Cricetulus griseus: one gene and its partner. The protein of the gene in region 1 interacts with the protein of each later gene in a pairwise test. Links are inferred from orthologs where the notes say so. Each region holds a gene or a part of one and is shown in the gene's direction. Other genes may lie near its edges.

Region 1 (8,120 bases):
CCACCTACATGCAGTTCCTGAGGGAGGGACTCCGGCGTGGCCTGCCCCTCCTGGAGCCCTAGTGTGCTTAGTCCTAGAGAAACTGGACCTGGTGAGACAGGCAGACAGGTTCCACACGTCCTGGAGCCATAGTGCCCTCTGTCCATTTCGCTCTGGAAATGGTCCCCACCTCATTCCCAGGCTTCCTAGAGAGCTCCAAGGCCAACTGAGGCTGCTCCCCTCACCTGGCCTGAATGATGGTGGTAGATGAAGGGGCCCGGATGAGCGTGTAAGTGAGCCAAAGGCCTGTTACCACTATCAGCTCAAGTCCCCCCATACATTCTGGGGTGATCTCTGTGGACCTTCCCACACAGTGACAGAGTTCAGGGCCTCAGTGTGAAGAATAAGGAATAGGCTGGAAAGACAGACTCCCCTTCTTTCTTGGTGTCCCCTCTCACGCCAAAGGAATCTAAGAGCTTGGGCCTGGGGGCCAGGCTGCCAGCCCCATGCCTGTTTGGAGCCTTCAATCCTGACCATCCCCCAGGCAGCTTTCTGTGGCCAGTGCCCCCAGCTTGGGGGTCAATGTCAGCTGGAAGACAGCAGTGGGGAGCCTTGCACAGAATCCTTCTACAGACGTGGAGACTATATTGTCCCACGGGCACCCTCCAGAGCACTTCATGGACCTGATGGCCCGAGCCCAGCCCTGTTTGGAAAGTTGGAGTTCACTGTGAAGTAGGTTGTACTTCAGCAATAGGGTTCTGGGGGGGGGAGGGGGGGGTCCTACTGCCTGCCCCAGCATAGGTTCATGATGGGACTGTTGGAGCCAGTGTCCCCAGGACACCTCCTACCCTGACCCCTACTCCACAGAAGTGGCGCCCAGCCAAAGACCACAGCCAGCACTGTCTAGGCCCCCAGGGTACTCTGGACACACTCATTTGCCACTAGGTGGCCACCAGTTCCCCTTGGCCACGCCTAGGGACTTGACCCACATCCTGAACCACTGACCATGGCCAGTCTTTTTTTATGCACACAGGAAAGCGTTTTATATGAACTTTCTCATAGTTTATAGATATTTTTTAGAAATCTGAATATCGAGGAGAATGAAGTGGGGACAATGGCTCCCCCCAGCAGCAGCCGCATGATGGCTGGGTCTGAAATCCCAGATGGACCCTGCCTGATGTCCTTGCAGCTGCACGTGGGGGACAGCGTGCCCATCGTCTTTCTCTTCCATGGTTTTTACAAGTGGTCTTCCAAGGGTCAGCATTTCCCCAGCTCTGTCCTGCGCTTCACACTCCCAAGACTGCCTTGACCTTAATCTCGTTAAGGCCTTCTTGACATCAGCCAGTTCCCTGTGTGCCCAGTTCTTTTCCCTGCCCCGCCATGGCTGTCTTCAACCTGGCAGAGGAGGAAGGCAGGTACCTGATCCCTGAGCCCAGCTCTCATCTGTTGCTGGAGTCACCCCACAGAGCCCACCTCATTGTCTCTGGGAGACCCTGCAGAGATCACACATTTCCTCATTTCTCAGAACAAACCAGTGAATTGGAAAATCATACCCATTTTTAAACCAGGATCACTCAGTACTGGAGTTGTGAATCAAACCCATGTGACTCCAAAGGCTGTGTTTTGGGTTGGAGGGTGCTTTGTTTGATACAGCACCCCTGCTCACTTCCCCCTGTGGTAGCAAGGAAATCCTTTAAAATCATGACTCCTCCTGAAGGCGGTGGTAATGCACTCCTTTAGTCCTAGCACCCGAGAGACAGAGGCAGGAGGAAATCTGTGAGTTCAAGGCCAGCCCGGTCTACAGAGCGAGTTACAGGACAGGCTCCAAAGCTACACAGAGAAAAACCCTGTCTCAAAAAAATAAAAATCATGATTCATGATCTGGCCAAACATAGCTGGTGCCAATGGCTCTGCCAGGTTCCTTATCTTGGGGGGTATGAGCCCGACAGAAACGGAGAGTACCTGGGCACTTCACGGTGCCTCTGCCTCCTCGTAGGCATGATGAGTATGTGCCACCCAGCCTCAGAAGGGGCCAAGTGGACTCCACACTGAGCAGTTCCGGTCCTATGTAAAGGACTGACTGCTGGGGCTTCCTGAGTCTTCAATGATACCTCTGCATACCCCCAGCTGCCATCTTGTCACCCCCTGTCCCATCCCCAGTACGTCCTGTAATAAAATTAGAGCGTCTAAGGAAACTTGGTGCTTTTCCTTTGAGCAGGATGTTTGGTTTCATCCTTCTGAGGTCTGACTGCTGCCCTATTGGGAGATGGGCAAGGATGGACATTTGAGCTGGACTGTCTTTGGAGCCTTGTCTGTCAGCAGAGGGCTTGAGTGACATGCCTAAGGTGAGTTTGTAATAGAATGATCAAATATACCAAAGAATCTGATATTTGGTGTGGAGAGTAGTCCTAAAGTTAAATCTCTTGTCTTAGAAGCAGAGCCCATGACAGGCATTAGGTAGTTACAGGAGGAAAGGCACCTGGATAACAGTGCTTGTTACCAAGACAACCTGAGTTCAGTCCCCGAATCCCACGTGGTGGAGAGAGCCAATTCCTAGTTATCTTTTGCTCTCCACATGGGCACCACAGCTCACACACATGGTGGGGAGGGTGTAGGGAGAAGGAAGACCTGTAAAAAGAAGGCTTGAGTCAGAAGAGGGCAAGGAGAAAAATGTAGCACCAGAGTGTCAACCAATGCCTAGCCATCTGCAGAGAAGGGCTCTAGAACACAAACCAGCCTTTTGTACTGGAATCACTTTGACTAGTGTGGTGAGATAAAGCCAGTTTCCAGATTAGGGATTGATTATAATCATTATATGGGGACCAGTGCAAAATGAAGTGCAAGAAAAATGTAAGACACATTTAGTCAGGTGCTAGGCAGTGGCTTTGTCACTGATAGACTGTGCAACAGTCATATCCTACAAAATCAAAGGCGCTGAGAAACTCGTGGTGTCAAGAACTTGAATGGTGCTCCATCTGTGTTTAGATGTAAATGTTTACAATTGTGATACAACTGCTCTGGGATTCAGCACCAGTAGCAGCTATGCAAGTTTGCAGCCTGGAGCAATAGGCTACACCAATTCCTCTAGGTGTGTAGTACACTACATTAAGTAGGTGTGTGTAAGTACACTCTATCTATAATGTTTGCGTAACTCGGTCACCTAAGGACACATTCCTCAGAGAGTACCCTTTCTTCAGCAGTGCATAACTGTAATTTCAAGGGGACAACAATAGAGAAATAAAGCATGCATGGGCGTAGTAAGGCAGGTCTGGGCGTAGTGCCCGTTGTGACTGCATCGGGCTGTCCACCCACGAAGCCAACAGATTTGTCCCTGGCAGATGGGGATTGCAGGCTTTGGGACCAAGGCAGTGCAACTGTGAGTCAGGCAAAGCCATGTACTGAGGGCAGAAAATGAAGTGTGTCCCGTTAACTGGATGCCATGGAGACCGGCAGCGTGAGCTTGTGAGCTTGGAAGGAGTCTCCGGCGTCATCAATCCACCCATCTAATCCATAAACTGAATTATGCAGCACACGTGTGTTTGTGTGCGAGACACGGGCTTTTAAATAGAAGGAATCCACTCCGAAGCACTGCAGGGTATGCGTCAAAGGCGAAAGCGTCCATTTTTGCTGGGGGCCGTTTGTCAGGGAACCAAGCAACGGGCCTGAGGGTCGACTAGACAAGCATGGCAGAAATGCCGAGACGAGGGTTCGGAGACTTGCAGCAGCAGTAAGGTCGACACCAACTATAGTAGGTGCTGAACTGCAACACTGCCAGACCACCGCTGTCCAGAAGCTTGTAGAGAATAAACGTGGGAAGCAACGAGGAATCGGAACCGAGGTCCTGCGGCTGAAAGCACCGGCTCAGCGCCCTAGGAGCAGCCCGCGCGGGGGGGCGGGGCCCGCGGAGGGGTGTGGCCTCCCGCGTGTGCCGCCCACTCAGGCCGCGGCCGCCCCGGCCCCTTGTTAAGCCCGCCTCTCCCGGGCGTGCGGCATGATACGCAGCGGCAAACGACTGCTTCCGGAGGCGGGTCAGCGGAAGTGGCGTTTGAGGCCCGGCCGCCTGCTGTAGTAGGAGGGGCTGAGGTGAGTCCGAAGCTTGAGTCTGAGGTGAACCCGGCGTCGGGCAGCGCGGCCGGGAGGCCCGCTGCCAGCGCCTCCGTCCCGGCGCCGGGGGAGCGCGTGATTGCTGTTCTCGTGCGAGTTCTCGCGGGAGGCGCCGCTGCCTGTGCCCCCTCCCCCCCCCGGCGGGGCCACTAGTCCCGAGGCGTAGTTGCCGGCCAAGTCACCCCGCCGTTGGGGTCGGCCCGGCCGTTAGAGCGCGCCCCGGGCTCCGCGCCCTGGCCGCGTGACGTTTCTGGGACCTGCGCCGGCCGGCGGGAGACACCGACCCGGCCCGTGGGTCCACGGGCCGCCGGACGCGCAGTGAGGACTCGGCCGACCTTGGTCTGGGCCGGGCGGGCGGGAGGCCGGGCGGGCGGCGGCGTTGACGAGGACGCCAGGCGTTGCCTCGGCTGCCCGTGGGACCCTCTCGCCCTCGGCGCGGGCAAAGTTTCTGCCGGCTCGGGGCCCTCGTGGAGCGCGGCGGCGCGGGGCGGGGCGGGGCGGCGCGGGTCTGCCGGGAGAGACGCGCTCACTGGGGCTGTGGCAGCGCCGAGGTGCGGAGACCGGGGCTCGCCTAGCGGGCGCGCGGGGGGGCGGGGCCTCGGAGCGAAGTTGGTGTCGCCCGCGGCGGTTTCTCACGGCGGAGCCAGCGCTTGCGGTGCCTGGCAGAGGCCGCGCTGTGGCCGATTGGCTACTTCATTTGTCTTGCGCGGCCTCGGAAAGCAACACTGCGCGATGCTTGAGTAGAGGGGCGGAGGGAACTGGGATGAGCTGGGCTAGGGTGCCGAGGAGGCGTGTTGGGAGCTGATGGCCGGGTGGCAGTGTGGCTCCAAAGCGTGCACTCGCCAAACAGTATTAGAGCTTGGTTTGGAGAGAGCCGGAAGATGGGGTCCGGCTGCTTGGTAGGCCCTGATGGCAGGAGGGCTGTACAGTCTAGCAGAGTAATTGAAGGAGCAGTTTATTAAGATCTGCCTTTGCCTGAGGATTAGATTCAGCTGGAGTCTCTGGAGATGAAGCAAGACAGGAGTAGCACAGTTAGATGGCATTCAGCAAGAAGGCTGGCACACAGGAAATTTGTAGGCTTCAACGGCGCTGCACATACCAGAACCTAGCCCAGACTTTGGGCACGGTCTTCTGTACTGAGTGACTGGCCAGACAAGTCCTTTCCTTTCTTCGTGTGTATCATAAGGTGACAATTCTGTCACAGTAGAAGAGGAACTCCAGCTCTCCTTTAAAAGATACTGCTCGTCAAATTCAGCTCATCCCTGTTCAGCACCAGACCTGGGTTCCCTAGTAACTTCTGACCCAGGCATTGCAAGCCCTCATGACAAGACCCTTGGTCTACCTTTTGCAATGATTTAGGATATTCTGCCTTGTTTTACAAGTCCCTCTCTTTCCTACCCTGTCCAAACTCGACATGGGGTCTTGAACTGAAGTCGACTCCTGTGCCCACCTGCCTAGTGCACCTCTTAATGATGCCCAGCCTTCCTTAGAAAAGTGTGTATTCTTGGTGTTCAACAGATACAATGCTCACTGATTGAACTTTAATGCCAGGGCAGCTGTGAAGAGTGCAGTCAGGATGACTGCTTTGTATGTTAACCTGAGAAACGAGTTTTTACAATAACACTCATGAGCAACTCTGTTTTGTGTTTTGTTTTTGTTTTTGAGGAAATAAGATCAGTTATTTAAAAGGGAGTAACTTTTAAATTTCATTAAGCACTTCAAGACCCACCTACCCCAATTTCACCGACCTTTAGGGTAGCCTAGAGTAGCAATTTTTCTCTTTGTTTTGTTTTTTTGAGACTGGGTTTCTCTGTGTAGCAGCTTTGGCTGTCCTGGAACTTGCTTTGTAGACCAGGCTGGCCTTGAACTCAGGTCTTCTGCCTCTCAAGTGCTGGGACTAAAGGTGTGTGCCACTACTGCCCAGCGAGTGTTGGATTTTCTTTTCCCCATTTTACAGATGAAGAAACCAGCATTCAAAAACATTAAGAAACACCGCTATAGAAGACTAAGCCAAAATAAAAAAATAAAAAAATAAAATAAAAAAGCTCTTGGGGCTGGAGGTGTGTTTCTGTGACAGAATGTTTCCAGTTGGGAGTAGGGTGTGCATTACAACCACTTAAATCTCTTTTCTCTGTAGCCCAGTAGACTGAAATTAGCATGAGTTGGCTGTTGATTCTTTCTTACCCACTTGCATTTTCAAGAATAAATGTTTGGGCTTGGATGGTACCCTGGGTTTTGCTTTCCTTTGAGCTTTGTAACTACCAAAGAGCTTTGCCTCAGTTCATCTTAGAGCCTGGAGGTTTCCCTGAGTTGGCCAAGCTTTCTCAGCAAATCTGGGTTTTGAAAAGCCAGTGATAAGTAAGGGCAGCCCTTGGGCTAGTTTTCTTCCTCTACACATTGGAGATGGTTTTAGCAGTGGCTTTGCAGAGGTTTGTTTTATGACTGTCAAGTCCCTACTCTGGTGTTTGTTTCACAGGAAAGATCTCATGTTCTTAGGAATGGCCTGATATGAAAGAGTCATACCTCCAGCTTTCCCAAGCTGCTCTGTGGGTGCCTTGTCCTTCAAGTGCAGGAGCTGGCTGAACTATCGGGAATGGAAGCCAATGTGGTAAGGAGTCCAAGGCAGGGGGCTTAGAGAGCTGAACTATACAAGGCCCTGAGATGCCAGTTCATTTTTTATTTTCACTGAAGCTCTGGAATTTGAGCAGCTGTCATCCTACTTCCTTTTTGGTACACTTCCTGAGTCCATGTTTTTATTTTTTTGTGCAAAAGAACATGAGGGAACCAGAACAGTCCATACCCCCAGCTAATTCCAGTTCCTTCTCTGAACCCTCCCAGCCACTGACTTTAGCTGCACCAGCTGTAGAAACCGGCCCTTACAATTGACTTGACTCACCTCTAGAGGAGGGAAGGCAAGAAACAGTAGTTAGACTCACTCTGAGGTTTTTGGGTTGTCCATCTCTTCCCTAGACTATCCCAATCTGGCAAAACAAGCCACATGGGGCTGCTCGGAGTGTGGTAAGAAGAATTGGGACCAATCTACCCCTGAAACCTTGTCCCCGGGCATCCTTTGAGGTGAGTGTACTGGAAGGATAAGGAAAGGAAAGACTCAGTATGGAATGTGGATGCTACTTCTGTGCAGAAGACATCTTGTTAGTTGCCAAGGCTTTTGCCTACTTTCCTGGTCACTCATTTCCTAAGTGCTTATATAAATAGATCCTGGTCATTGTGCCTTTCTGATTGTGTACAGACATGTGACCACAACAATCAGGCTTTCAGCTTGCTCATAAACTGATAATCTTTTATCCTTTGTTGCTGCTGCTAAGTGACTCAGATTTTATAAGCTTCCAGCAATGCGTTTTATCAAAGCAGGCCAGAAAGCCTTTGCTAAACCAAATCTCGAGATGATTTACGTTAGAGCTCTGAGGCATTTGTGCCTGGCAGGTCTATACATGAGTGCTGTGACTCTTGAGTAGACCTGCTTTTCTCACCAGCCCTAGGAGTGGGCCACTTAGCCTCTATTTTTAGTGTTTCTCTGTGGCCTCAAATCCCCATCCTCCTTTTTCTGTCCAAATATGGCCACTATATCACTGGCTGCTTGACAGGCTGACCTGTGTTACAGAGGCTTTAGCTTCCACTCTACAGCAGATTTCCTGTCTGGATTAGGTCTCTGAGACCTGCTTCTGTCATAGAAAATGAAATAATGTGCATTGGAGCCAAATGCTTCCATTAAAAACTCCTGGTGATGCTGGGTGGTGGTGGTATGCTGTCTTTAATCTCAGCACTTGCAAAGTAGAGGCAGGCCCTGTCTACACAGCAAGTTCTAGGACAGCTAGAGCTACACAGGAACCTGGTCTCAGAGGGAAAAGAACTCCTGATGAGGCATCTGCTCTGTGTTAGATGGCTAGGGTGGTGAGTATGGGAAACAGATATGAAAGCATGATGGCACAAAGGCGGTAGAAACACTTGCATAAAAGAATGTGGGCCTAGGGAGAAAGAGGTAGGGGTGTGTGTGTGTGTGTGTGTGTGTGTGTGTG
Region 2 (7,984 bases), about 100 Mb from region 1:
ATGAGGAACTGTATTTATTTATTTATTTATTTATGTTTGGTTTTTCAAGACAGGGTTTCTCTGTGGCTTTGGAGGCTGTCCTGGAACTAGCTCTTGTAGACCAGGCTGGTCTCGAACTCACCGCCTGCCTCTGCCTCTGGAGTGCTGGGATTAAAGGCGTGCGCCACCAGTGCCCAGCCGAGGAACTGTATTAAAGGGTCACAGCATTAGGAGGTTGAGAGCCCCTGGTTTAGATACTTTGTTTTTTGGACCTTCCTAGTTTAATTAGGGTTGCTTGCTTGAGCACAGGTGGGGGTAAATTTATTGGAGTATTGAACAGTGGATACACCAGTGAAGAAAATGACTCTCTCTTCTCCAGCCTTTGAGTTTCTCCTCATCCAAGATGGATTGTCAAAATGCTGCATCTTGTGTAGGTCTGACAGTAACCTGAGCCTCTGTGAGTTCATGAGTACAGTGATAAGGTCATGTCAAGAAGTCCACAATTCATGGTGTTCTTGTTTATCCTTTGGCGCTTACAATCTGCTCCCTCTTCTGAAATGCTCAGAAAGTGGAGAGGGTGACAGTGATGTCTCTTTCAGAGCTCAGCCCTCAACAATCACACATTCTCAGAATTTCGCCCAGATACAAGACTACATTAACCTGTGTCTACTGCAAAGAGAAGCTACTCTGACCACACAGGAAGAACTATTCCAGGGGTATAAACATTCGTATTTAGAAAACAGCTTGACACTAGGTCCATTGAGAAAAACAACAGTATTGGGTTCTCTGCTCCCCGAAGATTATGACCTCCCAGCCATGAGATTTTTTTGACCAGGTTTACAGTACCAGGCATGAATCCTTTCCAATACAACAGGCCTCACATGCAATCAGAAACTAGTTAGCTACCCCTATTGCAGTGTTGCAATAATGGGTATACATCTAGCCTTGGGGGGTTTGCAGGATTCACATCTGGATAAAACTTTGTCTTTTTTTTTTTCTCGCAGGAGTCTGCATAATACATTCTAGTATTATGGACACTAGCCAATAGGGAGGAAGCTACTGTTGTGGATTATTAGTTTAAGGTGTGTTACATTTGTTTATGCTGTGGAATATTTGTTTAGTGATGCAAAGATGTATTGCATTCTTTTATGTTGCATTTGTTTGAATCTGCAAAGCTGTGCTACTACTTTGCCTGTCTAAAACACCTGATTGGCTTAATAAAGAGCTGAACAGTCAGTAGCAATGCAGGAGAGAGAAATAGCTGGGACTGCTAGGCTGAGAGAATAAATGGGAGAAATCTAGGCTTGAAAGAGGAATGGGGAGCAACAAAAGAAGGAAAGGAGGATGCCAGGGGCCAGCCACCCAGCCAGCCATGGAGTGTTTTATTTTTCTCCAACAATGGTAACTTTCTGCTGGTCTCTGAGGTTCACCCGGCAGATGTGGTGGATAAACAATATTCTTCTCCTATCTTCAAGAAATGTCAAGATAAGCACTTGTGTGGTTACCTGATTGGGGTAAAACTCTCAGCATCTGTGCTGCCTGGATCCTCAGGTTAGATACCCACAGAGCACACAACACTGGCAGCCATGTCTGGTGCTGGTCTCTCTCTCTCTTCTTTGAGACAGGGTTTCTCTGTGTAGCCTTGGAGCCTGTCCTGGAACTTGCTCTGTAGCCCAGGCTAGCCTCGAGCTCACAGAGATCCACCTGCCTCTGCCTTTAGAGTCCTGGGATTAAAGGTGTGTGCCACCACCGTCTGGCTGCTGGTCTCTTTAATCACAGCTGATTCTTCAGCCCCAGCTGACCAGTACCAATTGCCCTAGGAAAGCAAACTTTCATTTTCGTGTTTTTGGTATCTTGTTAATCACAGCCACTTTTTTATCTCCCAGTGACCAGAACCACATATTCTTAATTCAAAACATCATATAAATGGTCCTGATGGGTGGAGATTCCCATTCAAAACACCTCATCATACAGAGGAGGAGGGAGAGAATGGATACCACAGCATTGTCCTCTGACACACACCACACACAATGGCTAAGACTGTCTCTGGCACAATGTGTGTATTCACAAGATGATTGTTAAATAAAACTGACAGGATCTGAATAGCGTCTTAAGCAATGCAGCGATTGAGAAACTTTACATTCCAGCCTGTCCTGTGGCAAGCTATCTAAGACTCAAGGCATGACTCATAATAGTAGGTAGCATAATTTCATAGGTGTCAAGTTCAGACACTTTAAAGTCAGGAATGAGAATTCATAAAACTTAAAGACTTCCCTGAGGCCTGTAATCAATCTATAGGAGTTTAGGAAAAGCTAATTATTTTTTTAAGGAATCCTTTGCTTTTTAGTTCCAGCCATCTTTTCTTGGTAATGGCACTTTGCAGAAAGTTTAGCCTTCTCAGAGCTTTAATGGCACAAGTGTGAATACATTCAGTTTCAGATGGTGAGCTTCCAACAGATAAAGACTTTGTGAAATGTATTTTCCCAACAGTGTAAAAAAAAAAACCCTGTCACTAATTACTAGTTCAGACAATACTATATTTCTTTTCCTAATACGCAAATTCACTTAATATGCAAAATAGTAAATTTGTATTTCTGGATAACTGAGTCATCTTTTATTAGAATATTAGGCAATTTTTTTCATTTACTCAACCAGATAGTTTATGTTTAACCAGCTATGCCCTTTGGATTTAGTATATTTACTTTTTTTTAATTTTCTTTTCCTGTTTTAATTCAGACTCAGTGTTCTCTTACCACCACTCCCCCTCGTGGCTTTGGAAATAAAGCAAGCCAGACTTGTTTCTGCCCGAGGTCAGATAGTATTAGAAACCTGTCGTTGTTTTCTACTGAGCTTTTCTTTGCTCCCATTTCATTATAGGTTTTTTATAATACAATAACCAAGAACAAGGGAACACAAAGAAACTCAACTAGATGGGTTCTTTTGTTGCTTTGTTTTTTAAGTCAAGGTCTCCATGAAGCTCCAGTTGGCCTAAACTGGCCTTGAACCTGGAATGATCTTCCTTCTGCCTTTGCCTACTTAGTGCTCAGATTACAGGCCTGAGCTACCTTGGCGGTCTGGTTTATAAATTCACTTACAAAGCCCTGGAGATAAAGGCTTAGAGTACAGTCTGGTACTCTTCCACACTCTTTCCAAATTAAAGCCCTTTCAAATCCCTTGTAACAAACAACAGCCAATCCCTGTATCCTTAATATATGAACTATACATCAGAATCAGACAGTAAAAGAGAAGGTCCACAATGAGCGTGATGGATGTATTATTTTCAGATTGGCCCGCGGGATATGGATTACAATTCGAGACATACTTTGGAGAATAAAACATTTATCTAACGCGACCCCTCAGTGACTACTACCGATAAAACAAGTGTGTCTTTACTTTGCTAAATAGAAAGCGGTGTTAACGAAACTTCATGATGAACTTGAGAAATTAAAAGACAAACTCGTTCCAATGTCAAATCACCTCAGCCGACCCGAAAGCTTTTGGCGTCCCTCGCTTTGCATATAAGGCGACTCCGAGAAGAAACGAATGAAATCTAAGGACGCCAGAGTGCCGACGTTCATAGTAATAACTACAAGGAAATGTCTGAAGGGCCTGAGCAAAGACTCACAGACGCGCATGAAGGATTACAAGGTCGTTTTATTAGACCTGGAAGACTTGCCGGAGACAGAATATTCGGTTTGAATTTCTGAACGCAGAAGCTGAAACCCTGCCGCAGGAACTCTGGGAGTTGTAGTCGCGAAACAGCGATGGACTCGAATGTGTTTAGTACTCGGTGGACGGCGAGCCCTTGGGCCCAATTCAGTGTTCCGAGTTCTCATTGGTCGCGGAGAGTTGACCAATGAGAGATTTGATTTGGAAGTATCCCTTCGCTGATTAGGTGTCCTTCCTCACGTTGCCCTCAGTCTCAGCCAATAGGACTATAAAGCCAGCAGAGGTGACAGGGTCACCGCGGAGCCCGGAGAACCTCATCCGCCGGCGACTCAACCCTGTGCTTCTTTGAGTCAGGCCGCGGCTCTGGTTTGCCGCGCCGCCGGTCGTGTGCCGTCGTGGGTGCGGCTCTGATGCTGCGGCTGGCCCCGGACGCCCGGAGCTCTGGAGGGTACGTGAGCTGGGGGCACGCTGGGGCCGGGAGGCGGCCGCCGTACCGCGGGCCCGCCGCGGCGCCCGCCTCCAGCCAGCAGCAGCCCGCGGGACGTCCCTGCAGGCTCGGGACGCTCGCTCTCCTCCCCGCATCCGACTTTGGCCAGCCAGCCTGTCCTACGGGTGGCGGGTGTCGTCCGCCTCTTTGCTTTTGCTTCAGCTCCCGGCGTTCTTTCTGTAAATCCCGTACACTACGAGATTGAGCGCGCAGGCCTTCGTTCAAGAGAAACCCGTGTCCACAGGTGGTGGGCGTTTGCGCAGTTAGCGGCTCCCTTCGTGATACTATCTCCCCAGCGCTTGCAGTAGAAGTCCCCGCGTGGGTCAGTCGTTCTGTGCTTGCCTGATTGCTCGAAAGTTTTACTGTCCTGCGTTCTTATTTTCTTTCAAACCTGAAACGCGCTCGAGACCGTTATGTGAAGAAGCTGAGGCTTGGAGGAGGTAACTCAATTCCCAGAGAGTTACTGTTAATCTCAGGGAGAAGCCAGATCGGATCTCAGTGTTTGGTGGTGGTGGTTGCTTTTCAACCTCACTTAACACATTAAGGACTTAGGCTAAGTGTGTACCCGCCGCAGCTGTTAGCACGTGAGCGCTTAATACTTTGTGTGAATTAAGTGATGGTTCTTGGCTGAAAGAAAAGAAGAACTTTCCCCACATCTGCCCAGATACAGATGTCTCACATGCTTCGTCCTCCTAAGACTGCCTGACAGCGGCTTAGTCCTCAAATGCTAGCTGATCGACTTCTCAGATTCCCAGACCCCATTGCACCCACTGAGTTTGAACTTGCTTTTCCACAAGATTCCTTAGGGATCGCAGTGCGCAGTAAAAGTTTGAGAAGGATTGTGTTTGTCTACATAGAACCAAAGAAGAGAAGATAAGGCTGGGTCTTGGAGTGTGCCTTTAATCCCAGCATTTGGGAGGTAGTGGCAAGCAGATCATTGTTAGTTCCAGGCCAGCCTGGTCTACATAGGTCAACCAGGGGTAAGTAAGGAAAAATAAAGCCTTCCAAGACTGAGATACAGAAAGACAAGGACGAAGTTTTTCAGTTTTGTTATTTGCAAGACTGAGTTTTCTTTTTCAAAAAAAAAAAAAAATTGCCGCTCGACAATTTTAACCTAGCAGCCCCAAATCTTAAAATAGACATCAGTAGTTAAGGTGTTTCAAAATTGTCTTGTAAGACATCAGGTGCTGACTTTAAAGGTAAAAGAGCAAACTAAGACAAAAGAAAAGTTAACTGCTGATGGCTAAAAGAACCTTTTGTTTATTCACACACGGTTTGCTGCAGTCTAGTTGTCCTATGTAAGGCATACCCTCATTTTCTTTTTGCCAAGAAGGCCTTCCAGTTAGTTTCTTTGGAAGGGAAAGGCTTTTCCAATTTATTCATTTGGCAATTTGATAATAAAGCTGAAGCAAACTGCCAGATTCATGATATCTCATTGCTCAATAATTAGTTTTAGTTTTTAATGTTTTCTTAAAGATTAAAAAAAATCATTTTCTGTGATAGAGAGTTTTGTCTGTATATATGTCTGTGCACCATGTGCATGCCTGGTGCCAGAAGAGGGCATCGGATACTCTAGAACTGGCTTTACAGTTGTAAGTGGCTGTCTGGGTGCTGGGAATTGAACCTGGACTTGGGGAAGATAAGCCTGTGTTCCTAACTGCTGAGCCATCTCTCCAACCCCACCTCAGTGCTCTGCTTAGAGGCATTTGCTTATATGGCAGTAAAAAGTTTCAGGCTCCTGTTTGTACCAGAAATCATTTAATGTGCCTTCAAAAATACCTACTGATGTTTTGGAACGGTCCGAGGAAATTGTATTTATTGAGGCTGTCCAGGTCCGTGCTTCCTGACATTAATGCTTTGGATGAAAACATAACTAGCAAACAAATGAACAAACATATTTGTATTTGAGCCTAATGTGGTATTCAGTATAGAAAGTAAGGGAAGAATTTTGTTTGTTTTAATTTTCATTGTGGTCATTATCTACTATAAATTTGCTCAGATCAGCATTTTAGGTTATTTTAAATTATCCCTCTTTGTGGTGTGTGTGTGTGTGTGTGTGTATGTGTGTGTGTGTGTGTGTGTGTGTGTGTGTGAGAGAGAGAGAGAGAGAGAGAGAGAGAGAGAGAGAGAGAGAGAGAGAGAGAAAGAGAGAGAGATCTCAAGTTGGTGTGTGCATCTGTGCATAAGGATGTATGTGCGTGTCTGTGCACCTTTGTGGATGCCTCAGATCAATATCAGATGTCTTGTCAGTCTTCCTCCGCTTTAGTCTTTGTGACAGGGTCTGTCACTGAAACTCCATGGATCCACCTGTCTCCACCTTCTACAACTAGGATTAACTACATGCACCACTTCACCCAGCTTCTGCATTGGTGTTTGAAATGCAAACTCAGCTTTCATTCTTGTACAGCAGACACTTTATCAACTGAACCATCTCTCCAGCTCTAAAATTATTTTTAGTGTGCCACAAATGAATTAAAATTTTTTTGCATTAGCATACAAAGTAATGGATTTCATGATGGCATTTCCATTGTATGTTGACTCTCATTCAATTTCTTCCTCTGTTTATTTTGAGGTCTGTTAAATCTGGAATAGAGGAAGTTTGGAGTGGATTCTGCAATGATCAATTATAGCTATTTGTCCAGTTTGTGAAGGCAAATATCTCCATCAAACAATTTAAGTTAACTTAAAAGTTAAAAAAACAAACAAACAACAAAATACACTCAGTAAATACGTTAGGCTTAAAGTTCTAATATTTAGAAAGATTTATTTGTGTGTGTGTGGGTATGTGCACATGAGTGCAAGTACTGGTGGAGGACAGAAGAGGGTCAGATACCCTGGAACTGGAGTTACAGGTGGTTGTCAACTACTGAACATGTACGTTTGGAACTGAACTTGGGTCCTCAGCAAGAGCAGTATGTGTTTTTAACCACTCAGTCATCTCCTCATCCCCAAAGTCTAACTTTTAAGCCAGGCAGTGGCAGACACATGTAATCCTATCACCCCAGAAGCAGAAAGGGGATTTCCTCCTTCCTTCTCCTCTCCCTCCTCCCCCCCTTCTTCCTATTTTCCTTTCTGTGTAAGTGTATGTGGCAAGTACTCTTTTATTCCCAGGCTTGTTTCCGTCTTCCTACCTCCAGCATAACTCTTATAAAATCCTCTGTTTTGACAGGCATGTTTGTATACCAATGTCATGGCAGCACTCGGGGCTTTAGCAAGAGGGTTCATACAAGTTGAGCGTAGCTTGGGCTGTTGAGTGAGAATTTCTCTCAAAAATAAAATTAAGATAAAGGAAAAATTGCTTCTGTTAACTCAGCAGTCTAAAGAAACACTGATTATTTAAAAAGATTCAGGCCACATAGTTAGAAAGAGGTGTGTAACCTGATGCCATCAAGATATTAAAATAAAACGAACATTTTGACATTTGACATTTTTTTTACATAAAACCTGTAATTTGGAGGGCAAATCTGAGCTCCAGCCTGCTTTTCTTGCCTCATTTAAAAGTTGTAGTTGCCGAGCTTTGGTGTCGCTTGCCTTTAATCCCAGCACTGGGGAGGCAGAGGCAGGTGGATCTCTGTGAGTTGGAGGCCAGCCTGGTCTCCAGAGCAAGTGCCAGGATAGGCTCCAAAGCTACACAGAGAAACCCTGTCTCAAAAGTCCAAAAAGAAAAAAAAAAAAAAAAGTTGTAGTTGCCATGCAGTTGAGCACAGTTCTGCTTGATGCAGTTGAGTTTCTGTCACTGCCTGATATTTCTGACTTTTCCGAGATAGGCCTTAGTTTGAACCTTTCTCAGTAGGGTTTGAGGATTAGAAGTTTCAAGACATTTTGTCTTCAGGTCATTCCAAAGGATCA

Evidence for each region. The genes of interacting proteins can lie anywhere in the genome.
Region 2: the proteins of Mtfr1l (region 1) and armadillo repeat-containing protein 1 interact in binary tests that used the Homo sapiens proteins (3 or more experiments, as listed by UniProt). The two-hybrid records come from large-scale screens. The link is inferred for Cricetulus griseus from reciprocal best matches to the Homo sapiens genes MTFR1L and ARMC1.

The regions. Positions count from the first base shown.
Region 1 is NC_048595.1:18,745,844-18,753,963, forward strand, and holds the start of Mtfr1l (mitochondrial fission regulator 1-like), read left to right. Parts: upstream 1-4,023; 5' UTR 4,024-4,062; intron 4,063-4,085; exon of another isoform or gene 4,086-4,422; intron 4,423-6,040; exon of another isoform or gene 6,041-6,143; intron 6,144-6,559; 5' UTR 6,560-6,676; coding exon 6,677-6,691; intron 6,692-7,053; coding exon 7,054-7,158; intron 7,159-8,120. UniProt on the Homo sapiens protein: Mitochondrial protein required for adaptation of miochondrial dynamics to metabolic changes. Regulates mitochondrial morphology at steady state and mediates AMPK-dependent stress-induced mitochondrial fragmentation via the control of OPA1 levels.
Region 2 is NC_048595.1:123,715,600-123,723,583, reverse strand, and holds the start of armadillo repeat-containing protein 1, read left to right. Parts: upstream 1-3,956; 5' UTR 3,957-4,096; intron 4,097-7,984.